Linked DNA regions of Bombyx mori. The protein of the gene in region 7 binds, or shares a complex with, the protein of the main gene of each other region. Links are inferred from orthologs where the notes say so. Each region holds a gene or a part of one and is shown on either strand. Other genes may lie near its edges. The genes, in order: G-patch domain and KOW motifs-containing protein, U6 snRNA-associated Sm-like protein LSm2, peptidyl-prolyl cis-trans isomerase H, CD2 antigen cytoplasmic tail-binding protein 2 homolog, pre-mRNA-splicing factor CWC22 homolog, U5 small nuclear ribonucleoprotein 200 kDa helicase and U5 small nuclear ribonucleoprotein 40 kDa protein.

Region 1 (4,792 bases), on a different chromosome or scaffold from region 7:
CATCTTTTTTATAAGTTTCACTTATCCCGTATGTGACTTGCACACACACACACACCTTTTTTTTCATTAAGTTTTTTGCCAGCACCTTTTGTTACACGAAAGCAGTTTTTTGTTGACGAACTTGTCTATTTTTATTCTACTGACAAATAGTGTACTGGGTTTTAAACATAAATGCATGCTTTAACTATAATTATGCTTTTTTCCATTCCATAAATATTATTTTAAAAAATAGTGATAGGGAGCCCAGACTAGATGATTTATTATTAAGGGATTTTATGACCTGGTAACTAAGACCATAAGGTCAAGTCTTATTTAAATTTTAATGTGTAACTTTTTATATGAAAATGATATTATGAAATGAAATTAAATGAAATGAAAACGAAACGAAATGAAATGGGATGATATTAACATACCTAAGCTACCCAACCAATTTTTTAAATACATCAACAGTTGATGTATATAAATATATATATACACCAATTTAGGAATATTATCTGTGGCGGGCAGCCATCATACAACGATTCATCATCAGCGCATCAAGAATTTCGGCTACCACAATCCCCGCATTCTCGCAAATAAAACGTCATTGACAGTCGTCCCACAGCAAGCCAGCACCGCAGCCTCAACAGGACCATCGCAGCCGACTCACCGCGCTTCCTGGTCCTACGGCACACAACTTCACTGCTTCATCACGCCGCTACAGTTCATCGCAGCCCACGACCGGATCATCAACGCTTGGGGTCACACATCTCCGGCGTGGCAGCTCTGCATCACATGGACTACGCACGACACGCACGCAACGTTCAAGCTCAGTCTCGACTCACTGCAGACTTCGAGCAGCACTGGCGACAATCACGCAGCATTCAGCTCAGTTTCGACTCACTGCAAACTTCGAGCAGCACTGGCGACACGCACGCAGCATTCAAGCTCAGCCTCGACTCACCGCAGGCTTCGAGCAGCACTGGCCCTTGCAAGCTAATCTCAGCACGGACAACGCTAACTAAAAAATGACACGACCTCCAGTCTCGGAGGGGAGTGATGTGGCGGGCAGCCATCATACAACGCAAGATAATTGACAGATGCCTGAATCTCGCTTACGACATTTTCAAGATAAAGCGCATATATACAAGTTCCAAACAACAACATTCGGACCGTCGGTCTACCGAGCAATATCATCCGCTCGGTGGAAGATCTTCCCTTTGTCGTATATACCCAAATATCTATGGCATACACGATAAAGGCAGAACTCTCAAAATTCTCAAATATTAAGTGTATAAACTATGGGGCAGAACGGCGATATCATCTAGTCTGACTTTTTGGCGGGAACGCGAAGAGTGAAGTTGTGTGATTTGTTTTTATTTTGTCTAATTAGTGTTTCTTCAGGTTTCAATGTGTAATAACGGTGGTTTATTAACTGTTTAGTATCTGTGAAAGTGCACAAATGTGGGAAAATGAAACAAAGCCGCTGAACGTAACTTCTCGGGATCTTCCAAAAAGTCCACTGAAAAAGTCTCAGTAAATGACCACCATTTTACTGAGATTATATTTCATCCCATATCATCTCTTATCACTTCATACCATTTCATCCCAAATGATTAATGTCTCAAATTAATCATCTTCATTTCATTTCACTCCATATTATCATTTTTCATAAACATAAGAATATAAATTAAAATAAGACATGACTTAAAGGCCTTAGTTACCAGGTCATAAAATCCCTTAAATTTTTTTTGTGTATAATCTATGACCCATAGATTTTTTTTGGTACAACTTTTCCTTATTAGGAAAAGCAAGGGGATCTACGCCCATACAATCTTTGACCCATAGATTATCCATTTAATACTTTACTGGATGTCAAATGTCAATATTATGTCAAACTCAAAGCAAGAAATTTGATCGACATCGTTGAAATTATAAAGTGAAGGTCAATGCGAAGCGAAGCAAACCAAAACATATAAATTCAAGTTATTAACGAATATAATTTTGAGCGAATCAAATCAAAAGTGATGCATTTGCAAAATTACTTGTCTGTTTTAGTAAATTTGTGCAGTTTATAAGAACTATAAGAACGAAAATGGAGGGCAAAAAAATATCTTTTGGTTTCATGAAAACGAAAAAAGCAGAAAAACCAGTCGTAGACGAAAAAAAGGACTATATAGAATGTGTAGAGGAGAAATCTATCAAAGTAGTCGGGTAAAATGACATCAAATACTTTAGAAAACTACGTTAACATTTTAAAATTTTATTGTTTTCATTTTAAAATCAAATGTGCTCTTTTTTTTATTGCTTAGATGGTTGGATGAGCTCACAGCCCAACTGGTGTTAAGTGGTTAATGGAGACCAGAGACATATACAACGTAAATGCGCCATCCACCTTGAGATATAAGTTCTACGGTCTTAATTATAGTTACAACGCCTGCCCCACCCTTCAAACCGAAACGCATTACTGCTTAACGGCAGAAATGGGCAGGGCGGTGGTACACACCCGCGGGGACTCACAAGAGGTCCTACCACCAGTAAAAAACAACAAATATATTAATTTACTTTAAACTAGATATCAACTGACTTGCAGACTTAATATTAGTAATGTCACTTATGAAAACGATCATAGAATGCTGCAGTCATAAATTCTATGAAACAATTTTGCTTGAATGGAGATGAAATTTGCCTGCATTTTTAACCAACAAAAAGGGGGCTCCTGTGTTCTTGTAGATAGTAGGATCTTCCCTTTTCCACGCGATATCACCCTCATGAACAGTGATTACATTGTTTTTTAAGGAAAATACTAAAAATGATTCCAAAATCAAATACAAAACAAACAAAGAAAAACTGGGGAAATGTAAAATAAAAATGGGACTTTGGGTAAACAGTCTTCCTAATTTATGCCAAAAAAGATCTCCAAAATTGAAATGTGGGAGTATGTACCTCACATCAACTTCTACACATCTACCTTAACACTTAAATTTTAGCTTTCCATGTTAACTATAAAATTTTACCAAACTCAATCTGCATTAAGGTAAAAGCACTAATGCTGGACATTGAACTAAAAGATGACACTTTAAAAAAAAAAAAATTCTAATAAGGAAACTAAACACTTAAATAACATTGCTGTTGATGTTAGACACCTAGTACCATGTATGATACATTCTCAAAAGCTTGCGTACAGTGTTAGAAGCAAATTTCAAATTGGCATCAGTTGACAACAAACAATGTGAGCAGGTTGACGTTTTGCGCGTAATTCTTAGCGTATTCCTTAAGCCATCTGACTTTTAACAGGTATGATTTTGTCTTATATTTATAATTATTGGCTACTGTTGGTTTCGATATTATAAATGTATGAAATTATTGATTTATTAGGACCAATTCCTTGTTATTTTGGTTTGTTTTTGTACAAATTTTAAGTGGTGTTTACTATTAGTACCAAAAATGAATCAAAACCTAAAAGATGACACGTGTGTCTTCTACTAGGGTTACATCGAACTGAATTTGTTAGCTTAATTTTCTTCAAATTCAGCCTTTATGTTGTAAAACAAAAGTTTCAATCTGAGTTTCGTTCATTTTACACTAGTCTAACTAAACGAAGACAGTGTCAACTATTAGGGTATACTAGATGTCAACTATTAGTATCAATTAATTTCAGCTTAAGTTTCGAGCACGATGCCACCAGTAAAGGGTCGGATGTTTCAATACTCTGAAGCCAATATTGAAGAAGCCATAAAAGAATGTATATGTTTGAGGATTTACTGGTGGCCCTGAGGCCTTTCCAGTTTCACAAGGACAGAAGGGACGGGATTTGCTAACAGCTACCCGAGCGCCTCCAAGGGAGACCTAACAACTCAAGAGTAGCTGCTTCGCGAATGAATCTACTACCGGATCGGGATCGCGACCCGCTGAGAAGATCCGGCGAGAAACTCAACGGGCTGATGCTTAGGTTAGGTTGCACGTTAGGTTAGGTTGAACTCTTTGCAGAGTTCGACGAATACCATTACCGGGATCTCTACTCCTAGTGTTAAAGCGGAAGGCGTCTAATGTAAGGGTTATTGGATCTGTTGGATCCGTAAGGAGGTGTCTAGGGCGACGACGGTGACTGGCTCCTGCGTGGTCAGGATTCGGGGAGTAGTCAGCGGCGGCAACGATAAGGCGATTATCATGACGCATTGCCTTATCGAAGTAACGTTCCGACGCGGACTTCATGTATTTTTTGATCGGTTCGAGGTCCAAGTCGTCGTGTAAGTCGACGTTCCTCACGAACCACGGGGCTCCGACTGCTAACCTGCAAAAACGAGATTGTAGGGATTGGAGGGTGTCTATGTGTGTACGGGCCGCGTGAGCAAACACCACACTCGCGTAAGTCATGACCGGCCTTATGTAAGCTTTGTAAAGTGTCACCTTGTTCCGAAGGGACACTTTACTCCGCTTACAGATCATGGGGTAGTCTGCCGAGAATAAAAGCGGCACGGTCGCGGACTGATTTTATATGTGGGTGGAATGTCATGGATGCATCCAGGGTGACTCCCAAGTACTTGACCTTCCTGGTTCAGGATATGAGGGGGGGCGTTCCGACAGCTTCTGCGGCAAAGAAATTTGGAGTTCCACGAGTAACTTTATTAAATAAAGTCAAGTGAAAGACACCTATTATGCGTAAAATGGGAAGAAGTTGTTATTTAACCAAAGATATAGAAAAAATACTCGTAACATGGGTAAAAGCTATGGTCAAACAAGGGTTTCCAATAGGAAAAGATAATTTACAAGATAGCGTTAAGTAAATAGTTGATGATCTTAATATTGATTA
Region 2 (2,994 bases), on a different chromosome or scaffold from region 7:
TTACAGTTATAAAGTGTAATGAAGCTTCAGTGGGGTATCTAACTCATTATAATTTTTTTTTTATTGCTTAGGTGGGTGGACGAGCTCACAGTCCACCTGGTGTTAAGTTATTACTGGAGCCCATAGATATCTACAACGTTAATGCGCCACCCACTTTGAGACATAAGTTCTTAGGTCTCAAGTATAGTTACAGCGGCTGCCCCACCTTTCAAACCGAAACGCATTACTGCTTCACGGCAGAAATAAGCAGGGTGGTGGTAGCTACCCGCGCGGACTCTCAAGAGGTCCTACCACCAGTAAGAGGCTAAACAGCTAATTGGCGTTTTTAAAATATGGATTAGAGTAATTATATAGGATCTAGGTACTACAATTTGGTTTTTTCTTGAGAAATTGTAATGATCTTAGCAGACAGCTGGTTCCAGTGTAATCGCTTGTAATGTTGGTTTAGTGGTTGATTATTAGTTTACGTTACTACAGGTCGAAGTCAATGTTACTTAATGGCTTCCGGTTTTGGAGCGCAGTCACAACTCTCTCGTGTTTTCGGTATCTATAAAACTAAGGATCCTCTTTTTTTTTTCTAAATGACTATCTTGTTTAGAACTACACAACAATCGATTGCTAATACATGCACTTATATAAACGAATTACACAACATTCAGGAATATCAAATCAAAAAAGAAAACCTTTGTTCTTTTAGTTTTTAATTATATTCAATTAATGCGACTAATGCGTAAAAACTCACAATGTCGGCGATTTCATCTACAGATGCCATTTTGAAGTTTACGTTTGAGGTTATCTATCTGGTTTTAAGTCCGAGCAACAGTTTTTCGAAGAACTAAGTAAATGAGGTACTGATTGTTTGTGGACACATTACTCTCAGTGTTAAAATCGATTTAAAACAATAAAAAAACACAATTTTCTTTAAAAAATTAAACAACTCAACCAAGCTCAAACGGGATTAGCGGACGCTATAGATTATACATTTCGCTTTAAGGAATTTTATGACCTGGTAATTAAGATCTTTAAGTCATGTCTTATTTTAATTAATATTCTTATTTTTATGAAAAATGTTACAATTATGTAGTGAAATGACATGAAATGAAGATGATTAATTTTAGATATTAATCAACTGCGATGAAATTAAATTAAATTAGATGAGATGAGATGATATGAGATGACATATTCTCAGTAAAATGGTGGTCATTGACTGAGATTTTTTCAGTGGACTTTTTGGAGGATCTCGAGAAGCTATGTCCAGCGGCTTTATTTCATTTACCCACATTTGTACACTTTCACAGATATTAAACAGTCAATAAACCACCATTATCACATTAAATTAGATTACATTATTACATTTAAGCCTGAAGAAACACTAAATAGACAAAATAAAATAAATCACACAGCTTCACTCCTTACGTTCCCGCCAAAAAGTCCCGATTTGTTTTAAAAATTTAAGCACAGGTAACGAAAACGTAGTAAATGCAAGACATTGGAAATGAGATGGTGCTCCTGCACAAAACTAACAAAATTACGGAAAATACCGATTCACACCGCTACAAAAAGCTATTGGCATTGACATTTTATGATTTTGACTTTGAGTTTTAAATGACATTAATTGAAGAACCCAAGCCAAATTACTGTTTCAGCGCGTTTTCAAACAAACAAAACGAAAAATGTTGTTTTACTCGTTTTTCAAATCGTTAGTCGGTAAGGATGTAGTCGTCGAGCTGAAAAATGACCTCAGCATATGTGGGACGTTGCATTCTGTGGATCAATATCTCAATATAAAGCTTTCGGATATAAGCGTGATTGACTCTGAAAAGTATCCTCATATGTTATCAGTGAAAAATTGTTTTATAAGAGGCTCCGTGGTTCGATACGTACAACTGCCGGCTGATGAGGTAGACACCCAGCTTCTCCAGGATGCCGCTAGAAAGGAGGCGACCGTTTCAACAAGATAGAACTTAACCTAACCTACAACTTCAATTTAAAGTGTACATATTAATATAAGCTTAAGTTTCTTAATAAATCATTCTTATAATATAGTGTTTTAGTAGCGGTCTCCGGATATTCATTTCAGAAAAGAAAGTTTCCTTTGATCGAAAAATAACCTAGTTCTTCAGTTTTATGTAAGTTTTATACCAGAGTATGAAAGAATAATTTATCAATAAAAAACATCTATATTTTTACCATTCTCAAAAATGTATCACAGAAAAAAGTTTTTATTACCTTTCACATCAAACTATACTGATAATTATTAGACATAGCTGCATTCCTTAATACTTAAGCCTTTTTTCAAACCAGAATTGATTTAGATCTCTAGTGTACATAATTTGGATGTAAATATTTACAAAGCTGTTATTTTGGATTTTTAAGATATACTTTTTCTGAAGATGGCCATGTCATAGTTTTCCATAGGCAGAAGGGATTGTAAAAGCATCATTAAAATATGTTGCTTGCCAAACACTGAACCTTCCTGAAACCTGAACCTTTTAAACCTTCTCTGGACTTCACGAATAATTCAAGACCAAATTTAGCCAGATCGGTCTAGCCGTTCTCGAATTTTAGCGAGACTAATGAACAGCAATTCATTTATATATATATAACTAGATAGATTACAGAAATATATAGATAGAAACATAATTTTAAAACTACATTTGTTGTAAGTTTCCGTTACATATTGAAATTTTGTTAGTGAAAATATGATAAATGAACACCTTTCTAATCTATGTACAATATTTTTTTAAAGTACCGTACCTATGTACCGTACATTATTTTCATTATTTCAATATAGACTACATCGCATTACTCCTGGACTTCTATGCTAAATTTTTTTTTGTGGGCGAATTCGAGTAGACGTATAACATTCGTGAAGAGTTAGGTACCGAACAATGCGTATTTTTGTATAGGTACAATTTATAGCAGTTATTTCACAAAGCCGCTGGAATATTATTTTCAAAGAATATTCTGATATTTACTTCGGCTTTCGCGAGT
Region 3 (3,564 bases), on a different chromosome or scaffold from region 7:
TCGGGGTGGCGCCGCGTGTCTGGTTGTAGTGTTGACCGCGGGAACCCCCCTACTACTGGGTTACCTGGTTTTGTTTGACCCAGGACGGAGATCGGACGTCGGATGTAAGAGTGCAGGGGAGACGTTTAATGGGTGGGGCCCTAAAATTCCTTGGGCCCGCGGTCGGCTCCCAACACCTTGCAGATCGTCAAGTCCCACATACCCCGTGCGCCCCCTAGGCACGGGACCTCGTAGGAGGTTCGGCCCCCGCCCGAAAATTATAATAATAATAATAAATGGTTAGGAATTGGACTTGGAAAAAATGAATGACTAAATATTAGAATCAGAAGGAGATTATTGTATGTCTGTATTTTAAACTATACTGATAACTATATAGATGTATATTTTGGAACTTTGCAATATTTATACTCTATTTATTATAATACTATATTTATATAATTAAACTTTATACTTTAAATTTCAAATATTTCATAATCAGACATAATTAAAATGATTACATAAAGTAACTAAGTTTTTTTGAAATCTAGATTAATTAACATAAAAAAGTAAACGAAATGAAACCGACCCAAAGTTTTAAGTTACACTGTGGTGGTTGTTGGCATTCACTTTGTAAGTATTCGTTCCGATGAAAACTTAATATCAGCCAAACATAAAACAATAAATAAATAAAACTGCAATAATATGTATACTTTTTTATCTATTCACTTGAATCGAAAATGAACATTCATCACATCCAATTATTACACTAGATTGCACAAAATTACTTTTATTAAGCACATACACCCCACCACATCTACAATCGTATAAATACACATTTTCATCACTGTCAAACACCATTTCAGACAGTCTTACTGTTTCATAAAGCAATAGATCACTATTTTCATGGCAACTTAATGTAGCATCATACTGTTTCCTGGTGCTAGGTTCTCTTAAAACTGACCAAGCTTTTTGTAATAGGCGAAACTTATTATCAGAATCATCAGTTTTATTTTTATCGGGATGTAATGTCAAAGCGAGTCGCTGATAACTTTTCTTCAATTCTTCAAGGCTTGCTGTTCTATCGCAATCTAGTATTTGATAATAATCAATAGGTAGGTCATTACTTTCCATATTTAATAAAAACTCGTAAAAGAGTTTTATTTATAAAAAATAGTTTACCTCTCTTTAATTCAATTGCTGTTCCCACTTCCCAGTCTTTGATTAGAATTTTTTTGTATTTTATTTATGGCCTGGCCCAGTCTTTGATTGATTGTTTGAAATTCATTCTTTATTGTATTATCTATAATTTGTTCATTGGACGGGCAAAAGGAGATAGACCATACAAATTTCAATACTCTTGTCACAAAACTGTAACCTTTAAATAAATATAAATATAATATATATAAATTTAAATGTATGTTAGGTAAGGGGAATAATGGAATTAAATTAATTGCTCATGGGATAAAATTTAAGGAAGTGAATTAAGAAAGACATCACCGTAGGTATTTGTTAGATAATAAATAAGGTTCCATTAAAACTTATAAGATAGGTATGGCGTTCAAATCTGAAGAAACGCACAATTTACGAAATACAATAATTTACACGACTTTGTCCTTCCCCGAAAAAAAGTCCCGCCCAATATACAATTGTTGACGAATAATACCATAGTCGTCTGTGATCACGAATACTTTATGTAGTTATTCTAAGCGTTAGAAATAATTGAAATTAAACGGTTAGGATAGTTTTATTATTATCTACGATTCGCCGAAATAGAAGAAACTGCTATAATCTTAAAATGTAACAAATTCGCTAAACGTGAAGTTTTGTCCTTTGAAGTCACCAGAAATTCCGTTTTTAGATCTGGACAAATAGGCTTGTAAGCTACCTAATGTCAAGGAAAGGATGTCAAAAGTATAACCTCAAAATTTGACAGCCGGGTAACAATAAACATCAAACAAACTAAAACTTATAGAAGTTTTAAATTGTTAACACAAATGTAATGTTGTTTTAGTAAAAATTTCAATATTAACACATTGAAATGCCTACTTGGAACCAAATACAGTCACAACTTAGGAATCCTAACAATCCAGTAGTGTTTTTCGACATTACTGTAGGAACAACGGTAAATACCTCCCCGAACTTATTGTTTTTTATTAGATTTAAAAGAACACACAAAAATTTATGTTTATAAAATATTTATGTTTATTTTAGGAAATAGGTCGTATGATATTCGAGTTATTCGCCGACGTAGTACCAAAAACTAGTGAGAACTTCAGAGAATTTTGTACCGGTGAATACAGGCGGGATGGTGTGCCCTTAGGTTACAAAGGAGCTACTTTTCACAGAGTAATAAAAGATTTTATGATTCAGGGTGGCGATTTCGTAAATGTACGTATTAAGTTTTGTTTATGATAAAACGATGCCTAACTGAACATGATGGAAGTTTATTAATATTTACTATTCATTTTAGGGAGACGGTACAGGCGTTATGAGCATATATGGTGGAAGCACTTTTGCAGATGAAAACTTTGGTTTGAAACATGACTCTCCAGGGTTATTGTCCATGGCAAATAGTGGTAAAGACACGAATGGCTGTCAGTTCTTTATCACATGTGCAAAATGTAATTTCTTAGACAATAAGCATGTAGTATTTGGTAGAGTTATAGATGGATTACTTGTCATGAGGAAAATAGAAAATGTACCAACAGGACCAAATAATAAACCTAAAATACCAGTAACAATATCTCAATGTGGACAAATGTAAATAAAACTTCACTTTAAATTTTATCTTTTTATTATCATTAAATCACAATGGCTCTGCCTCACATTTCTAACAGACTAATAGATAAAATATAATATTCACAAATTTTTACATAAAGTAATCACAATAAATACTCAATAATTATGTACACTGAATTGAACTAATTTTTTTGGTTTGCAATTAGTAAGCGTCAAGTTTTCAAAGTGTGATTGTTTATTAGTAACTTTCTAGGCTGCATTGTTGCCGGCCCATTGCGCCTTCCGACTTCTTTAATGAAAGCACCTTCCATTTGTCGAGCAACTTGGTCAAAAAACAAATTAGATAAATGTGAATGTATAGCTGATCTAAATTCGAATGTTATCTGGAAGTCCACAACACACGACTGCTGTTCTCTTTTTAGACCAGGACTGAATCTCCAAAGGGTCAACATATGGTGGAAGAGTCTTCCATCAGAACACTCTGCTTTTACCAAATGTGGTTTGACTAGCGTAACATTTGAAGTGTAGCTTTCATTGATAGGAGGAAAGCCAATGATCAAGTCCGCCTTCAGGTTTCCTGGTGTTTCTTTCAAAACTATAGACTTTTTGCACCACGGTAGGAATTTGTTGTAGCTTCCTACATCTGATACAACTTCAAACATTTGCTCCATTGTGTAGCTGTGAAAATAGATTTATATGAAACTAGATTCCATTTTAAGGTATACAGTAATGGATATAAACAAAAATAAAGATAATGATTTACTGTTAGGCTATTAATCCAGCTATGATTAGTTCATACTAAATATAAAAACGTGTTCGGCACTTAAATTGTACAAATTTTTTGTA
Region 4 (4,498 bases), on a different chromosome or scaffold from region 7:
TATCAAATCAAATTGTTGTTCTTGTTCATCTTCACTACTAGATTCATCACCAAGTCCTTTTTCATCGCTATGATGAATTTTATATTTATCCTCTGGTCTACCTTTTACTTTAACCCAGTCAATGTTATCAAGCCATCCATCACGAATTTCTTTTTCTTTTTTCCAATGGTAATGTCCTTGTGTATCAAAATGCCCTTCTTCAAGTTCTTCTTTCATGTTAAAAGGTGTTATTGTAATCTATAAAATAGTACTAATTAATGAAATTAATATTTTATTTGATAGTTATAAGTATTAATTAAGTTGTTAATATTAAATTAGCTGAATTATCCTCAAAAGCATTTTAAGTATTGTTTGGAAAAAGAAACATTTTTTAATTCTCACAACAATTTGAGTATTCTGATTAGGTTTTTGACTTATTCTACTCACTTCACCTTCCATTCCACCAGTTCCTTCCTCTTCACCTTCAATATCATTGGAGTTCATAACATTATTCTTCTCTTCTTCAGCACCACTATCTTCTTCGTCGGAATCCAAGGAATGTTTCTTGCCATCCTTCGTGGCCTTTTTTACTTCGTCTATTAATGCTTCGGAAGCGGGACGCTTTGACATTTTGGTAAAGTAACTAAAAGGAACAAATTTTAATTAAAAACATTAAAAAATATTTGGGTTTATCTAACAAAGACTTTAAACTATAGGCACATTCCTAAATTATCATTGAACACTAAGCAAAGTTTTACTCATCCTCACCCTAATAATATTTTGGGCGCCTTTTCTTGAATAGGTGAACTCAAATTGAGTGAATCAGATTCAACTAGGTTGGTACACGGTTGGTACCTCTTCTTAATTGTGATTGTGTGTCTGTTGCCGTGTGTTAGGTACGCTATCAATGAAATCAATGTTTTTATGTCTATCAAGGTATGGTCTCAAATCTCAATTATTAATTTTATTATGTGTATCAATGACTCGAATATTTAAGTGTATAATCTATGTCTATGACTACGATGTTTGGTTTTAGGACTTTTTGGCGGGAACGCGAGGGGTGAAGTTGTGTGATTTGTTTTATTTTGTCTATTTAGTGTTTCTTCGGGTTTAGATATGTAATAATGGTGGTTTATTAACTGTTTAATATGTGTGTAACTGTATTTTTCTTCTTCTTTACTTAGACATTTTTGTCCACTTTGAGATTTAATTGTTATATATCTGTGCAAAACCGACTTACTTATATTAAATTGCTTAGCTATTTCAACTAAAGACTTATTCCCAAATTCATAGTCTTCTATTGCTGTTTTTAATATTAAGGGATCATATCTCTTATAAAGCTTGCACTCTTTGATACATACACGCGAGGCATATCTAAAAATAGAAAACAATACGTAACTGATAATATAAATATAATTGCACTAATAATTAAATAAAAGTTTTAGACAAAAACATCATGAATAAATGAGATTCTTACCAACACGTTTAAAAAAGATTGTTATAACTACATAGACAACCCTACAATCCTGTACGTATTTATACTTAAGTCGTTCCCATTCAACTTATTGTCGTCCCAATTGACCTCCCTTTCATTGTTATTTGTAGCTCAGGTGACCCCATTAACCCCAAACATAACAATTTTAATATGTATTTTTAAATTATCAAAAAACATTAAAACCAATAACAATTGAGACTTACCGTTAATATATATGATGGCTCAAACACTAAATAAAGTTTTTATATCACAGTCGTCTTATATTATTATCAAATAATATATGCTGGCTTAACCATCAACTGGTGTTCGGTTGTAAAGGACCTAGGCCTACTTATTGACTCCAGCCTGAGTTGGCGAGCCCAGGTCATCTCCGTGTGTCAGTGAGTTACACTTACACTCCGTATGCTTTACCGCCTGAACAATATCCTTCCGCCCGAAACCAAGAGACAATGCTCGTTTAAACTTTGATCTTCCCCATGATCGACTATGGTGATGTGTGCTACTTTGACCTGAATGCAGATCTACTCAATAAACTTAACCGGCTTCTCAATAACTGCATTCGATTTATTTATAATCTTCGGAAATACGATCATGTATCTTCTCATCGCTCCCAACTCAAATTGCTCCCCATTCGACAACGCCGTAGCTTGCGTGCTCTCAGTACTCTTTACTCTTTGTTGCACTTCCCAAATCCACCTGAATACTTAGGGTTTGACTACAGCCAAAATCTTCGTTCATCTCACAATCTTCTTCTTCGCTGTTAGTTCGCAGGTAGTTCGGACTTTTTACATTCTTCCTTCACTATTCAATCTATTCTTCTATGGAATGCGCTCCCACTTAAAATAAGGTCGGCCAGAGTTTAAGACAAGGTTTCGAGTACTTAGAATCAATTAGATGACTCTGCTAAGAGTTAGCAGAGTCATCTAATTGATATTTATTTATATATACACATTTTTATATGTATATATTTATGTATATGTATTTATTTAACAAACAAACAACTGTCTGTACAAACTGTTTAAATAGCACTCGGGAGTTATTTTGCGAAAAAAAACTGTCACACTTTTGGATTAGAAAAAAATAGATGTTGCTTCAGCTGAAGCACTGTAGTGCGCTACCGAAGAATTACACAATCAACGTGAAAAAAGAGCAACCGGTTGGCGATGTATCGCATCCCGACCCGACAGCCTGGTTCTAGTCCAGCGGGGTATTCCGGGACTCCAGTCGCACTGTGTGGGTGGCCTGACGGGCTATCGTACCCAGACGGCTGACGGCTGTAGAGCATTCCGTCTCAAAGGCTCCGTCGACCGGACGTCCTCGGGGGAGCTGCGCTGTCTGTAGTGTTGACCGCGATAACCCCTTTACCTCACCCGGGTTCTGACCTGGAAGGGTATCAGACGATTGGGCGAGAGTGCAGGGGAGTTGTGTAGTGGGTATGGCCCTAAATTCTATCCTTTAGGCCCGCGGTACCGGCGAAGGCGGACTTTCGGCGCGGTATTGTGGGTTTCGTGGAGTCGTAGCGGTCAGTAAGCCCCCTCAACCGGGTAACCGTACGGATTCTACAGCGTTAAAAAAAAACAAAAAGAAGGCCCGCGGTTCACTCCCATACCCCATGCGCCCCTAGGGGCGGGGTATTCCTAGAAAGTTCGGCCCCCAGTCCAAAAAAAAAGATCAAGCACTTCAAACCGCATTTCGTCGACTTTCGCCAGGGAAACTGCTTAGCTGAGTGTTAAGCAACATACCTTGATAAAAAAGTCGTCGGGGCCTAAAGGATAAGACGTTCGGTGCATTCGTGTTGAGTGATGCATCGGTGTTCGAATCTCAGGTGGGTACCAATTTTTCTAATGAAATACATACTCAACTAATATTCTGGATTGACTTCCACGGTGAAGGAATAACTTATTTATTTATTTTATTTATTTATGTACACACAGAAAAAAAGACATAGTACAGAGTAATAGGAAAATTATGTACAAAGGCACTGCTTATTTCTTTAAGAAATCTCTTCCAGCAAACCTGCGAGAGGATAATGAGAATAATAATAAAAAGTGATAAGTGTGTGTAGAACAAATAATACATAACTAAAACAACAAATACAACATGAGAATTATAGTAATGCACTTACACATACCAAATATTGTTAAACTTGAGTACAAAATATTATAAGTCACAGTAACACTCGTATATACGAAGAGTATAGAACCATGATCACTCGGTTGATGAGAGATAAAATTGTTTGACCTTGTATTTAAAAACAGAAACAGACTTGCAAACTCGGATGTCAGCCGGCAACGAATTCCACAGTCTGACCGCGTGCACAGTAAAGGAGTGAGAATAGAAATTGGTTTTGTGAGAAGGGAATAACAAAACAGAACGTTGGTTGGACCTGCAGGGAGCATCAGGAGAACGAATGAAAGAGAATCGCTCACGTAAATATAAGGGAGAAGTGGGCTTATGTAGGATATTGAATAGGAGACATAATATTCGAGTATTCCTACGAAGGCGTATAGGGAGCCATTTAAGTTCTTTGCGAAAATGTGAAACATGATCGAATTTTCTGAGATTGTATATAAAACGGATACATAGATTTTGCATCCTCTCAAGCTTGTTTGAGAGCTCCTCAGTGGCATCCAAGTAGCAGGCATCGGCGTAATCAATTATGGGTAGAATGAGAGCTTGGACGAGAGATATTTTTGTATGCTGAGGTAAGAAGCCCTGCAGACATCTCAACGAGTGCAAGGCGAAGTGCACCTTCCTACTAATCTCAGCAACGTGAGAACTCCACGAAAGATGTCGATCCATACACCCAGGTTTTTAACTGAATCGGTTAGAGTTATTTGAGTCCCATCCAAATAAATTGGGGGGAGTATAGGATCGCTGAGTCTACTGCGCAATTGTTTACCCCCTATAATGATAGCCTGTGATTTTCCCGGATTAATGTGCAGACCGTAGGCTTTTGCCCATTCAGTGATAGACTTCAGATCACTGTTCATCGCAGCAATAGCCGATTCAACGTCAGGCTCT
Region 5 (4,605 bases), on a different chromosome or scaffold from region 7:
AGCTAGGGGTCTTGGGCATGGGAGGAGCTAGAACAGACTGCCCAAGACCGATGTAAATGGAAAAATTTGATTCAAGCCCTACACCCCAGCAGAGGGTAGTAGGAAGGAATGATGATGATGATGAAAAAGTATACTGAGTCTTATTAAGCGATTAATTTAAGCGACAATAATTTGAATGTTCTCTTTTCAAATATAAATAAATTTAAACAATAATTTTTTGTTAGAGTGAAAACACCGACAGAAATCTTCGATAACAATAAACTGTATTACGTTCCGTTTTAAACAGTGACCAGTATAGCTAACTATAAAAGAACAGTTTCGCAGTATATTAAATTGACGTCACATCTTACAATGCTGGCAGTGCTTATCGGAGCATAGCTGTAGTGTGGCTGCTTATGGCGTTGTTCTTGAAATCTTTCCGCTTTTCTTTGTGGGTGACGCATTTACGTTGTAAATGTTTTTTTTTTATGATTGAAAGATTACTGGTGGCCCGGAGGCCTTTCCAGCTTCACCAGGACAGGTGGGCGAGCAAAGGCTCAGCCAGGAGGGGTGGGATTTGCTAACAGCTACCCGAGCGCCTCCGAAGGAGACCTAACAACTCGAGAGCAATTGCTTCGCGAATGAATCTACTACCGGATCGGAATCGCGACCCACTGAGAAGATCCGGTGAGAAACTCAGCGAGCTGATGCATGGGTTAGGTTGCACGTCGACCTCTTTGTCGAGTTCGACGAGTACGGTTACCGGGGTTCCTCAGCCTGCTCCTAGTGTTAGAGCTGAAGGTATCTAATGTAAGAGTTATTGGATCTGATGGATCCGTAAGGACATGTCTAGGGCGACGACGGTGACTTGCTCCTGCGTGATCAGGATTCGGGGAGTAATCAGCGGCGGCAACGATAAGGCGATTATCATGACGTGTCTATGGGCTCCGACGACACGAGAACCCTCTCAACGTGGCCGCCGATAACTACATTGCCGATCTTGCGGACCAAATGGTAAACATTCGACGTCACCCAAAATACGTCATCTCGGATCCTCCTGATCCACTAACGGTGCTTTTAGGTACCCCAAGCACCGGTCATCGTTCTCGTCAAGCCCCTCGCTTGCGACGAAGGACTGGGTGAATAAATTAACCCACAGACACAGCCCACTGAGTTTGTCGCCAGATCTTTTCGGTGGGTCGTGTTTCCGATCCGGTGGTAGATTCTGCGCAGCACTGCTCTTGCTAGGGTTCGTGTTAGCAACATCGTCAGGTTTGAGCAACGTGAGCTCACCTACTAGCCTGGTGACGCTGATATGATCTCTCTAGAACATCAGCTTAGGTAGGAAAAAAAAATCTTTGCTGCAAACATTAGGATTATCCATTAAATTAGCACCTAACAGCGCCGAGAGTGGATAATCTAAAAAAGTTAACTGAATTTGTCCAAATACATAAACACCATTTTACTGATATTATATTTCATCTCATATCATTTCGTTTCATTTAATGTCATCTCAAATCTCAATTGATTAATGTCGCAAAAACAACTTCATTTAAATTTTTTTAAACAATACTTTACTTTATTAGGCCGTATAGTATGATACCTTCACCTTTTCAGTTGGAAAACGGAGTTACTACTACTCTACTACTACTGACATGACAGTAAAATAAAAATGTCAAAACAAAATGGCTGTTTTATTAAGGTCAAGCTGGATTTTACTTAGTGCACGTTCTACTTTTTCATCGAAATAAATTTCATGATTTTACACATAATATTGAAAATGAATAGTTTTAATAATATTGAGTTCTAGATACAGTATTAAATTCTTTTATAAAAAGTTCAATTGTAGTCTAGTAGTGTCAAAACAAAAATCATAAGAATGGAGAAGACTAACACCAAGCAGAAGAAAGATAAATACGAGGAAGATGATGAAAGGCGTAGGTCGAAAAGGTCGAGACGGGCTAGATCTAGATCTAAGTCACTTGAGGAACAGCAGAATAGGGAGTATAGAAGTAAACGCCGGCGTTCCAAATCACGCTCACCTCATTACAAGGCTAGGGAAGATAAACGAGTTAAAGACACACAAAAAGAGCCAGAAACAAAAAAAGATGCCTCTACAAAGCCAGAAAGACGCGCAAAAGATACTGATATGTTGAATACTAGAACAGGAGGTGCATACATTCCACCAGCAAGACTGAGGATGATGCAAGCGCAGATCACGGATAAGTCCTCGATAGCTTACCAAAGACTTGCCTGGGAAGCTCTCAAAAAGTCAATTCACGGTCACATCAACAAAATTAATGTCGGTAACATAGGTATCATTATAAAGGAATTATTGAAAGAAAACATTGTCAGAGGTCGAGGTTTGTTATGCCGTTCTGTTATTCAAGCCCAGGCAGCCTCGCCAACATTCACTAATGTATACGCGGCTCTAGTATCAGCAGTCAATTCACGTTTTCCTAATATCGGGGAGTTGTTACTGAAAAGATTAGTGATTCAATTCAAAAGAGGTTTTAAACGCAATGATAAGTCAATTTGCATTTCCTCTGCATCTTTCATTGCACATTTAGTGAATCAGAGAGTGGCACATGAAATTCTGGCTTTAGAACTTCTCACTTTACTAGTTGAATCACCAACAGATGATTCAGTTGAAGTTGCCATAGCATTCTTAAAGGAATGTGGCCAAAAATTGACTGAAGTATCATCTAAAGGTGTAAATGCAATTTTCGAGATGCTAAGGAACATTTTGCACGAAGGTCAGTTAGACAAAAGAGTTCAGTACATGATAGAAGTAATGTTCCAAGTTTGGAAGGATGGGTTCAAAGACCACCCGGCACTGATTGAAGAGTTGGAGCTCGTGCCTGAAGAAGAACAGTTCACACATCTATTGATGCTGGATGACGCTACAGATCCTCAAGATATCCTGAGTATGTTATATTCTATTAAACTATCCATAAAAAAATAAGCCATAAAACACTTAAGTAGATTATCTGTACAGTCTGTCAATTGAATTATTTGTTCCCCTAAGTTATTTAATAGCTATTGAGGGTATGCACAAGAGTTATTGTAACACTTAAAATGCTAAAAGTTTTGAGTGTATATAACACTCTAAACGAGTAAAGTTTTAATTTTTAATAGGATTAATCAAAAATTTTTATATATAGTTTACATAAAAATGCTTTTAGCTTATTTAAAAATGTAACTTAAACAATCTCAATTTTTTTTCATATACTTTTTGCTTTAAGTTTTAAGATAGTAGTACTCTGTGTTAGTGAATTCAATATCCATTATTTTAGCCTATTTTTATTTTCCATCGTATGTATTAACTCATTTATGCCCAACATTATTGAATGTTATAAACAATTTATCTTAATGCTCCATTTAAAACAAATGTAAAATAAGCAAATTAGTATAAAAGAATAAAAATAACAATTTTCCCAAATGCTTCAGATGTTTTCAAATTTGATGAAAAGTATGAAGAGAATGAACAGAAGTACAAGAATCTTTGCAAGGAAATACTTGGTTCTGATGCTGAGTCCGGTGATGAAGATGGTTCAGGAGAAAGCGGTAGTGAGGAATCTGATGAAGAAGATGAAGAACAACCAAAAAAAGAAATGACTATTATTGATAACACAGAAACAAACTTAGTGGCTCTGAGACGCACTATATACCTGACAATCAACTCCAGTTTAGATTTCGAAGAATGTGCTCATAAACTAATGAAGATGCAACTGAAACCAGGACAAGAAGTGGAACTATGCCACATGTTCTTAGACTGCTGTGCTGAGCAGAGAACATATGAGAAATTCTATGGCTTATTGGCCCAAAGGTTTTGCAACATCAACAGAATATACATCGGACCTTTCGAGGAAATTTTCAAAGATTCATATTCAACAGCACACAGGTTGGACACGAATAGACTCAGAAATGTCAGCAAGTTTTTCGCCCATCTGCTGTTTACAGATTCCATTAGTTGGGAATCTTTGGAATGTGTTAAATTGAACGAAGAAGACACAACTAGTTCTAGTCGGATATACATAAAGATTCTGTTTCAAGAACTGGCTGAATACATGGGACTAAAGAAACTGAATGACCGTCTACAAGATCCGTTCGTATTACTTTGTTTTGATGTTTTTTTAGTTTTATAATAATAAATAAACCCTCAATTTCAAATGGAAATATGACAAATGACAGTGGAAACTCTTTGAAAGGATAGCTCAGGGCACAGACAAGCGATTATATATTGCTGAGAGCAATGACAGTTGTTATGAGAGGTTCACAATAATGAATGTTGATTTTAACTACAATTGCTACATTGCTATGCTCATGGGTGTGATTTAATACTAGCTTTACCCTTTCTTTTGAGTTAGGAGATGGTTTCGGAACCAGTGAACAAAGTTTACGGCTTACCAAAAACTATCTTTATGGTTTAATCTTGCGAACTTTATTACTAGCGAACTGCCCTCGCTTTGCTTCGGAAACATTAAATTTTATTATTGATAGCTGAGCCCCGCGATGTTAACCGCGGTTATTGTCGTACCGCGGATGAAGCCGCGAGGCGAAGCTAGTCTAAAAAAAGTAACATAAGTTACTCCTTATATCATCAGCTACCTATCAGTAAAAGTC
Region 6 (4,067 bases), on a different chromosome or scaffold from region 7:
GGTTCAAATTCGTTTTGTGTTTTGATTTTGTCTTTTTGATTTTGCCTTTGTATGTTAAACCCAACGTTATAATTAGTCGCTTTTGATTTGATTATCTTTAAAAAAAATGTTTTGGCCTGATCATGTCTTATAAATCGTTCCGCCTGAGCCTGTACGTGCAAGCGAGAGGGCGGAATAAGCATTGACTTGTGATACATTTATCTCTCTTCTCGCGTGACGTCAAAGCTAGCAGTTCGCATATCCTGCCGTTATGACATAAACTATCGTTCGTAAATCGACTTTACAGACAACCAAGGCTTATTTTTTTACTATATGACAGTGACACTTAAATTCCTTTGCCTATTTGTCATCTCACAATTTTTTTGGCTTATTTGGATGGACGAGTTTACAGCCCCCCACCTGGTGTGAACTGCTTACTGGAGCCCATAGACATCTACGACGTAAATGCGCCACCCACCTTGAGATATAAGTTCTAAAGTCTCACTATAGTTACAACGGGTGCCCCGCCCTTCAAACCGAAACGCATTACTGCTTCACGGCAGAAATAGGTGGTGCATACCCGCGCGGACTCACAAAAGGTCCTACCACCAGTCATCCAGGGTGTCGTCTACCGGGTCTACTTACCTGGTTCTTGCCTGCGTGCTCCATCACCTTCTCGTAGACGATGTCGTTCATCACCTGGAACCGCTTGAGAGCCTTCTTCTCCGTCACGCCGATGTACTGCTGCTCGAGGGCCACCGGTCTGTTCCATCAACACTTTATTAGTAATACCTTCCGACGCCAGTAAATATTAACAGCCTCGACTATACCAGCTAAGCGAAGACAGGTAGAAGAGAGAAGCTCAGTGGGCTGTGTATACGGATTAAGTAGCAGGATTAGTGGTGTTTGGACTTGACCTAAAGGTGTTATTTACTAGGTCATAAAAAAAAAGTTGTCCCTATCCGGTAGCTACCCTCCTTTCGCTTAAAAAATAAAACTATGCGTTCAGCATTCATTCGCAGTCTTTCTTACTTCCTAACACGACATCTCCCATCTTTCTCTCACTCAGGCATTCATCCACACCATTACGTTGCGTTACATAGGCCCACCTGAAGGAGTTGTCGAAGTAGAAGAGTCCCTTCTCGGGTCGTACGCGCAGGAAGGTGGCCACGTCCGTGTAGTTAGGCAGCGTGGCGGATAGGCCCACGAGCCGCACCTGCGGGCGCACACGCAATATTAGCTCGCGCCGAATTAAATGCGATTTATCTTTTTTCTTTATGGTATTCTAAAATCTAAATTTAGAGTTTAAATGTTTATATAGTAATAAAATGCAATAATCTCTCCCTGGAACACGCTGCGACGGATGTGTGGAGACGTAGCCCACGGAGGATTGACGATAGGGTAGTGGTGGTGGTAGTAGTAGTATTAGTAGTACTAATAGAGGTAGTGGGAGTGGTGGTGGGGGTAGTGATGGTAGTGATGGTAGTGGTGGTAGTAGTAGTAGTAACGGTGGTGGTAGCAGTAGTGGTTGTGGTGGTAGTAGTAGTTGTAATAGAGGAGGTGGTAGTAGTAGTAGTACTGGTGATGGTAGTAGTAGTGCGATAGTGGTAGTAATAATAGTAATGGTAGTAGTAACACGTTACCTCCTCCCGAGTCTGCTCGACCGTCCGCAGGGTCCGCGCCACCAGCGCCTCCAGCACGGGCCCGCGCTCGTCGTGCAACAAGTGGACCTCGTCTATGATTATAAGCCGGACCAGGTTCGTGAAGGAGCGCTCACCGCCTGCGCAGACAAACAGAGTGTCAATAACGACCGCGCGTGTTTTGTCTACGCGAGTGACATTATTATTATTACTGACAGCGGATGAGCTGACATTATAGGAAATGACAGATGTCTATACTGCAACTCGAATGATATTTGTGACATAAACCCATAGACCTATATAGTAGGGACACGACATATTGTTCTATACGTACAATTGCTTATATAAATAGCACCCATTTTGAAGGCACACACATAAACATATATCTATCTCGTTCTTACTCAGCACTTTAACTCGCAGGAAAACAATATAACAGTATTTCAGTGCGTACATAAAATGAAACATGAATATACGTAAATATCTCCGTCTCCGTCTAATGAGGCCGAAAATCCGCCATGTTTAGCGCGCCAAATGTCATTGTCACGTCAGTTCGGCCGTCTGTTTTGGGTTGTACATTATTTATTGACTTTGATATCGATTTAATATGATTGATTATATAAAATTTCATAATTTATCATGCTTAAAACATACAAAAATAATAATTAAAACGTATTTTATAGGATCTCAAGAAAGTCGATGCCCTAAAACTATTATCTATATGTATTTAAATTCATTATGGAGCCCTCATCCGAAAAATCCATTTTTCGGTCGGAATCTATTGATCATGACACTAATCATAAATACCACTTTAAAATATGTCATCAAAACATATTTAGACATTCTGTTTAGATATTTCGGGAAAAAGGCTACCGACAAAATCTCTTCGGAACTATTTAAATAAAATAGTTTTATTCCGCAGTGAGTAAAACACTATTGTAAATTTGTTAAATATTTAATAATTAAGTGATTTTAGAGAGGAAGTCACAAGGAATGACGTTTTTAATAATGAATAAATGTTCTGTAGGTGTTTTTTTTTCACGCGGTCCCTTGATAAGTTTAAAATTTGAATCACTCTCAAGTGAAAGTGATTCAAATGGTGCGGCGCACCTTCCTTGGGGTGCGCTGCGGTAGTGTTTTACGGACTTTGGAGTCAGCAAAACAATTAAAATAGATTGTAATAGTCTAAGAAAAACACGTACTCAAAATACGATAACATTTAGCATGCTAGAAATGGGCTGATGGCTTTGAACTACGCCATATCTTTATGTTTTGCGACAAACGACAACTTTATAAAATCAGTGTAGCAACTTTTAAAAATCATCATATCGTTTACTTGGCAAATTCGAAGGACGAACTTGTCTTAGATTTCACCCATCTAAATCATATCATATTTGCACATAACAATATACCTACTTACTTCCCATTAAAGTATAAATTCTACAAATAAATAATACTCAACAATATTTAAAATAAAATGAGCCAAGAACGTTTATCGATAAAACCTGATAACATTGAAATCTTTTGTACAGCACTAAAGCCGCCATGTTTTGTGGCCAGATGACGTCACACTGGCACGAAATTTTGGTTGACGTTTCATTTCCATAGGTTTCCTACTTCATTGCATAAACCATGTTCCCAATTCAATATGCATCGTTTAGTTTTCGCGAGTGATATGTGTGATATCTATATATTAATACGTGAAGCAAAAACTTTGTATCCCTTTTTACGAAAATTGCGCGGACGGAGCAGTATGAACATTTCCACACTTATAGAGAATATAGAGAATATATAGAAGTGCACAATGCTAATATATATTTTTCTCCTACCTACGCCGAAAGTTCGGTTTTCCGCCCGCTGTACAGGGAAGAAAGTGTTAAGTGTAAGAGCCAAATCGGTCCAGCCGTTCTCGAGTTTTAGCGAGACTAACGAACAACAATTCATTTTATATATATATATAGATATATGGATATGCTAACCCTTCCTGGTGATGATGTCCCACTTCTCCGGAGTGCACACGATGAGCTGCGTGGCCTCGATCTGCTCCCTCGTGAGCTGGTGGTCGCCGGTCAACTCGGAGACCTTCATGTTGTAAGCGGACAGACGCTTGCTGAAGTTGCCCACCTGAAATTTTATATTTTAACAACATATTTTTATCATTATTTTTCTAATGAGTGTAGGTATCAACAAAAATCTCTTTACTTAGTGAAAAAGTATTATTCAGGATTTCGTATTTCTTAAAATTATTCATTGTATTTTTATTCAATTAATTTAATCAATTACTAATTTCAACACGTTGTCAACTATTGCACTGTCGATTGCATCTATAATTGAGGTGACATGTATTACGAACTTATTGTCAATTTGTCAATTGTTTTTTTTTTTTTGTTTTTTTTTTGTATTGATGATCAATTTGTTGGAGCATCTAAATAAATAAATATTTTTTTTTTT
Region 7 (4,828 bases):
CAAAATCAAAATTAAATCCATGAAATCATTATTTCACAATAGGTATATAATCAATTAATAGTAGTATTCTTTTAAAGTGTTCCAATAGAAGATGAAACGTAGTCGAAAGTTTTAGAACGTATTGTAGTTTGACAAAAGTTCGTCGTTTTATTCGTTTTAAGTATGCGTATGCTGTAGTCGTCGTGGCTTAACGTATAAGACGTCCGGTGCATTCGTGTTGAGCGATACACCGGTGTTCGGATCCCGCAGGCGGGTACCAATTTTTCAAATGAAATAAGTACTCAACAAATGTTCACGATTGACTTACACGGTGAAGGAATAACATCGTGTAATAAAAATGAAACCCGCAAAATTATAATTGTAATTACTGGTGGTAGGACCTCTTGTGAGTCCGCGCGGGTGGGTACCACCGCCCTGCCTATTTCTGTCGTGAAGCAGTAATGCGTTTCGGTTTGAAGGGTGGGGCAGCCGTCGTTACTATACTTGAGACCTTAGAACTTGTATCTCAAGGTGGGTGGCGCATTTACGTTGTGGATGTCTATGGGCTCCGGTAACCACTTAACATCAGGTGGGCTGTGAGCTCGTCCACCAATCTAAGCAATAAAAAAAAAAAAATGCGTTCTCGTCTCTTTTAAAAGTTCATTACACAAACAAAGCGATCGGGGCTACACGTGAAAAAATTGTAACTTAAACAAATGATTTATAGCCGTCGTGACCTAAAGGATATGACGTTTGGTGCATTCGTATGTAGCGATGTAACGATGTTCGAATTGCGCAGGCAAGTGCCAATTTTTCTAATGAAATACGTACATATCAACTAAACTGACTTCCACGGTAAAGGAATAACATCGTGTAGTAAGAACAAAGCCCGCAAAATTATAATTTGCATAATTACTGATGGTAGGACGTCTTGTGAGTTTGCACGGATAGGTAGCACCACCCTGCCTATTTCTGCCATAAAGCAGTAATACGTTTCATTTCGAAGGCTGGGACAACCATTGAATTTTTGAGGAGGCAGTCTCCTCCCGGTGATGGTCACGGGGCCTCCCCCGGGCCAACTCCCTCACCTGAGGGGGTTGAGGCTGCGCCGCACGCTACCTACCATCACTCTAGCGCGCTGGCACAAGGAGGACGGGACAACACGTCAGCGACTACGGCCTGCAATGCGGTCCGCATTGTCGTCGTCACTATCGTCGCCGAACATACTGTGGAAGAGCAACGCGGTCGGAGGTGTATCGCGTTCTGACCCATCAGGCTGGTTTTGGCCAAGCAGAGTATCCCAGAACACCAGCGGCATCGCCCGGGCGGCCAGGTAGGGCCACCGTACCGCGGAGACCAGCGTCATTGGTCATCGACTACCGTCTCGACGACCCGTCGGTCAGGGGTCCTCGGAGGGGCGCCGCGTGTCTGGTTATAGTGTTGACCGCGGGAACCCCCCCTACATTGTCCGGATTCTGAGCCCGGACGGAGATCGGACGTTGGGTGTAAATGTGCAAGGGAGTCGTTTAGTGCGGTAGGGCCCTAAAACTCCTTGGGCCCGCGGTCTGCTCCCAAAACCTGCAGATCGTAAAGTTCCACATATCTCACGCCCTCTTAGGCGCGGGGACCTCTTAGAAGGATCGGCCCCGGGCCCGAAAAAAAACCATTGTACTTTAAAAACTGGGACATTAGAATTCAAATCTCAAGGTGCATGGCGGCATTTACATTGTAGATGACTATGGGCTCTAGTAAACACTTTAAGTTCTTCATTTTGAATGACTCATTATCTCATCTTCTCATCTGAATAGGTATACAAAAAAAAAACTTTTTAGAAGGTAGCTTTGTCTTTTGTTACAAAGAATTTGGCGATATTGGCTATTTTCCTTTTGCCTATACAATTGACAAATGAAACAAGCTAAACAGTCCTTATACCATTTTTAAGGTTAGTATTTCTGTTTGTAGCTATAAAAACAAATAGGTAAATAAACATCTTAAAAAATGCCAGATATAGAAACTAAAAGAAAAGCAGAGGATGTGTCTCTTGTACCCTCCAAGCGAGTACGGCATGAGATCTCAGTAGTCGGCACCAGAGAAAAGGCAGTTGTTACTTCATCTGTGAGTATTGTTTTCAATAAAGTTTACTTATTTTCTCAATAGTACGGTCTATAAAAGCTAAGAACTCTAACGCCACGGTGAAAGCATCAAGAGATCATAATTATAATTATTAGAAATGGAACATAACATCTAAAATAAACTTTTAGAAAAACACAATCTGTACTTAGGTAATCATGATTGATATTTGTTAAAATTTAAGGTAATACGAATTTTAGTCGGCTTTTACTTTAAGATTTATTTTTCAACATTTGTAGTGATCAACAAGATTCCAAGATTCCTGTGTTTTGTATTTTATATTCTTGTCGTTCTAGGTTCCACGAACATCAAACTTGTATGCGCCAATTATGTTGTTGGAAGGACACCAAGGAGAAATTTTCACAGGCAAATTTCATCCTGAAGGCAAACATTTGGCTTCTGCAGGCTTTGACAGACAAATATGTAAGTAACAAAATCATGACAAAGCTTTTGAATTGGCAAAGTGTTTCTAAAATTCACACTCTAATAATATACTACTATCAAAACGTTAATGAAGAATTGACACATTTGATAACACAAATTATAAGATTACAGTAGGTAGGTTTTAAATTTAATTGAAAAGAGTGAACAAGGTAAAATCTGACCTAGTGTATAAGTGATTATTGGAGACCATAGACATTATATTACAGCGTCTTAAATTTTCTCTGAAGTCCAAATCCATTTCAGTTTGATTTAATATGCATTATTAAGAATGACTGCCAGTACCAATATCCCAGGCATGGGCCACACTGTACTGGGGTTTTAGTGACACGAGCCCTATAATGTAGGGAACAATATGATACAATACTCAAAATGATAGCTGATATAAACTGTTTAGCTTAAGCCACCATTAATATAAAAAAATACAAAATAAATGTTTATACCATTGAAAATTTCCACCAATGTCAGGGTCATGTTGACAACTTATAAGCTGTACAAGTCCAACTTAGTAATATTATGATTTTTGATTTCTTATTTTCACAGTAATATGGAATGTGTATGGTCAATGCGAGAATGTGATGGTGATGAAAGGTCACACGGGAGCAATAATGCAGCTTTGCTTCTCACCTGATGGTTCACATTTGTACACTGGAGCTACGGACAATACTGTAGCAGTATGGGACGTACCCACCGGGACTAGAATCAAGAAGTTAAAGGGTCACGCTAACTTTGTGAACTCTGTTTCAGGTATGTTTCATAGTTTGAGTTTTGACACACAATGGTTTTCATGCTAGTGCTTTTTAGTAGTACAAATACACAACAGTAACTTAATTAAACATTACTTTGCACTCTCAGAGCCTTAAAGTGATTGGATCCAAATAAAGTGGGATTGACCTAAAATTGAAACTATAATCCGTAACCATGGTTTGAAACCAGATAACATCAATCTAAAATCTCAATGCCTGTGGATACAATAGAACTGTAAATTCATTCATGGCATCCATTAAAAAATTGGTTTAGACAACGTAACAATCTATTCTAACTTTCTCGTGTTATCTCTATATCCAGGAGCAAGAAGAGGTCCAGAACTCTTAGTTTCAGCTTCAGATGATAACACCATAAAATTATGGGATGCAAGGAAAAGGAATCCAGTTGCATCGTTTGACAGTTCATATCCAGTCACAAGTGTACTCTTCAATGATACAGCTGAAAAAATTTTATCCAGCGGTGTGGACAATGTCATCAAAATGTGGGATATAAGGAATAATCAGATTTCCTTGAAAATAAAAGGACATACAGACACGGTTACAGGTTGGTAATTCTTTATTGATTCTGATTAATTAGATTTTTATTAGGTGATAATACTGCAACCAGAAATTAAATTAAAATATTGATACAGTTTATCTAGAGTGGAGTGAGGGCAATATGATGACAGTAATGACTTCAGTCTATTAGTTAACTACTAAAATACTGATTACCATACAATGTATTTAACAAATATTGATCTTATGAGGAAATGAGAATGGATTGATTGGTATGCAGTACAGTAGTAGTAGTTGCATACATATGTATTTCTCTTTATAATCCCTGTTGTTACTTGTTGACGGGTGTATTGTAAACTTCTTCACCCATTCTGCCTTCGGTAGCCCAAACTGGTATTAGGTAATTTTAGAGAAATGTAACAGCTATTATTAGAATGTCTCTAGCCTTATAAGTAGTAATAATTCATGACTAAGACTACTTGTTTAGTTTACTTGTAGATCGTGAAGTCATCTACCCAGGTGCGGCAATAAATATGTGAATAGAAATCATATGAGTTTGATACATTTAATGACTGGCAATGTCTAACTTGTGTTGCAATACTCGTTTCCAGGATTATCATTGTCATGGGATGGTGCATATCTCCTGTCCAATTCAATGGATAATACACTCCGTATTTGGGACGTTAGACCGTTTGCACCAACAGAACGCTGTGTCAAATTAATGTCTGGCCACCAACACAACTTTGAGAAAAATCTGCTCAGATGTGCATGGTCTCAGGATGGCTCCAAGGTTAGTAGTTCACTCGTCTTGAAAAAAAGTACTCTAACATTTATATTTTCCTAATAGCCATTGTCTTAGTAGACTCCCCAATGTTGAAACTACTGCCGGGCGAAGTCAGACTTCTTTTGTAATATTTCTAGTTGTACCTTCAGAGCGGAACTGAAGGTAACTGCATCAAATGAACCTAGCTATTGTCAAATATTCTTAAAATATACAATGAGCTGTAGAACTCCGT

What was found.
Region 1: U5 small nuclear ribonucleoprotein 40 kDa protein (region 7) and G-patch domain and KOW motifs-containing protein share a complex: the UniProt entries of both Homo sapiens proteins name them as parts of the minor spliceosome. The link is inferred for Bombyx mori from reciprocal best matches to the Homo sapiens genes SNRNP40 and GPKOW.
Region 2: U5 small nuclear ribonucleoprotein 40 kDa protein (region 7) and U6 snRNA-associated Sm-like protein LSm2 share a complex: the UniProt entries of both Homo sapiens proteins name them as parts of the U4/U6-U5 tri-snRNP complex. The link is inferred for Bombyx mori from reciprocal best matches to the Homo sapiens genes SNRNP40 and LSM2.
Region 3: U5 small nuclear ribonucleoprotein 40 kDa protein (region 7) and peptidyl-prolyl cis-trans isomerase H share a complex: the UniProt entries of both Homo sapiens proteins name them as parts of the U4/U6-U5 tri-snRNP complex. The link is inferred for Bombyx mori from reciprocal best matches to the Homo sapiens genes SNRNP40 and PPIH.
Region 4: U5 small nuclear ribonucleoprotein 40 kDa protein (region 7) and CD2 antigen cytoplasmic tail-binding protein 2 homolog share a complex: the UniProt entries of both Homo sapiens proteins name them as parts of the U5 snRNP complex. The link is inferred for Bombyx mori from reciprocal best matches to the Homo sapiens genes SNRNP40 and CD2BP2.
Region 5: U5 small nuclear ribonucleoprotein 40 kDa protein (region 7) and pre-mRNA-splicing factor CWC22 homolog share a complex: the UniProt entries of both Homo sapiens proteins name them as parts of the minor spliceosome. The link is inferred for Bombyx mori from reciprocal best matches to the Homo sapiens genes SNRNP40 and CWC22.
Region 6: U5 small nuclear ribonucleoprotein 40 kDa protein (region 7) and U5 small nuclear ribonucleoprotein 200 kDa helicase share a complex: the UniProt entries of both Homo sapiens proteins name them as parts of the U4/U6-U5 tri-snRNP complex. The link is inferred for Bombyx mori from reciprocal best matches to the Homo sapiens genes SNRNP40 and SNRNP200.

Annotation. Positions count from the first base shown.
Region 1 is NC_085127.1:6,327,681-6,332,472, reverse strand, and holds the start of G-patch domain and KOW motifs-containing protein, read left to right. Parts: upstream 1-1,767; 5' UTR 1,768-2,074; coding exon 2,075-2,193; intron 2,194-4,792. UniProt on the Homo sapiens protein: RNA-binding protein involved in pre-mRNA splicing. As a component of the minor spliceosome, involved in the splicing of U12-type introns in pre-mRNAs.
Region 2 is NC_085129.1:20,029,489-20,032,482, reverse strand, and holds U6 snRNA-associated Sm-like protein LSm2, read left to right. Parts: upstream 1-1,600; 5' UTR 1,601-1,673; coding exon 1,674-1,961; 3' UTR 1,962-2,041; downstream 2,042-2,994. Other genes in the region: protein suppressor of forked, read right to left, coding at 743-772. UniProt on the Homo sapiens protein: Plays a role in pre-mRNA splicing as component of the U4/U6-U5 tri-snRNP complex that is involved in spliceosome assembly, and as component of the precatalytic spliceosome (spliceosome B complex).
Region 3 is NC_085116.1:6,471,797-6,475,360, forward strand, and holds peptidyl-prolyl cis-trans isomerase H, read left to right. Parts: upstream 1-1,677; 5' UTR 1,678-2,017; coding exon 2,018-2,101; intron 2,102-2,190; coding exon 2,191-2,367; intron 2,368-2,449; coding exon 2,450-2,743; 3' UTR 2,744-2,761; downstream 2,762-3,564. Other genes in the region: coenzyme Q-binding protein COQ10 homolog A, mitochondrial, read right to left, coding at 2,931-3,396. UniProt on the Homo sapiens protein: PPIase that catalyzes the cis-trans isomerization of proline imidic peptide bonds in oligopeptides and may therefore assist protein folding. Participates in pre-mRNA splicing.
Region 4 is NC_085111.1:10,749,599-10,754,096, forward strand, and holds the start of CD2 antigen cytoplasmic tail-binding protein 2 homolog, read right to left. Parts: upstream 3,130-4,498; 5' UTR 1,678-3,129; intron 1,354-1,677; 5' UTR 1,220-1,353; intron 994-1,219; exon of another isoform or gene 748-993; intron 623-747; 5' UTR 610-622; coding exon 427-609; intron 238-426; coding exon 1-237. UniProt on the Homo sapiens protein: Involved in pre-mRNA splicing as component of the U5 snRNP complex that is involved in spliceosome assembly.
Region 5 is NC_085110.1:1,337,799-1,342,403, reverse strand, and holds the start of pre-mRNA-splicing factor CWC22 homolog, read left to right. Parts: upstream 1-1,629; 5' UTR 1,630-1,858; coding exon 1,859-2,906; intron 2,907-3,429; coding exon 3,430-4,087; intron 4,088-4,605. UniProt on the Homo sapiens protein: Required for pre-mRNA splicing as component of the spliceosome. As a component of the minor spliceosome, involved in the splicing of U12-type introns in pre-mRNAs. Promotes exon-junction complex (EJC) assembly.
Region 6 is NC_085130.1:11,205,144-11,209,210, reverse strand, and holds part of U5 small nuclear ribonucleoprotein 200 kDa helicase, read right to left. Parts: intron 3,741-4,067; coding exon 3,596-3,740; intron 1,760-3,595; coding exon 1,623-1,759; intron 1,196-1,622; coding exon 1,089-1,195; intron 743-1,088; coding exon 625-742; intron 1-624. UniProt on the Homo sapiens protein: Catalyzes the ATP-dependent unwinding of U4/U6 RNA duplices, an essential step in the assembly of a catalytically active spliceosome. Plays a role in pre-mRNA splicing as a core component of precatalytic, catalytic and postcatalytic spliceosomal complexes.
Region 7 is NC_085109.1:1,114,484-1,119,311, forward strand, and holds the start of U5 small nuclear ribonucleoprotein 40 kDa protein, read left to right. Parts: upstream 1-1,747; 5' UTR 1,748-1,977; coding exon 1,978-2,094; intron 2,095-2,405; coding exon 2,406-2,532; intron 2,533-3,093; coding exon 3,094-3,297; intron 3,298-3,618; coding exon 3,619-3,861; exon of another isoform or gene 3,862-4,423; coding exon 4,424-4,602; exon of another isoform or gene 4,603-4,828. UniProt on the Homo sapiens protein: Required for pre-mRNA splicing as component of the activated spliceosome. Component of the U5 small nuclear ribonucleoprotein (snRNP) complex and the U4/U6-U5 tri-snRNP complex, building blocks of the spliceosome.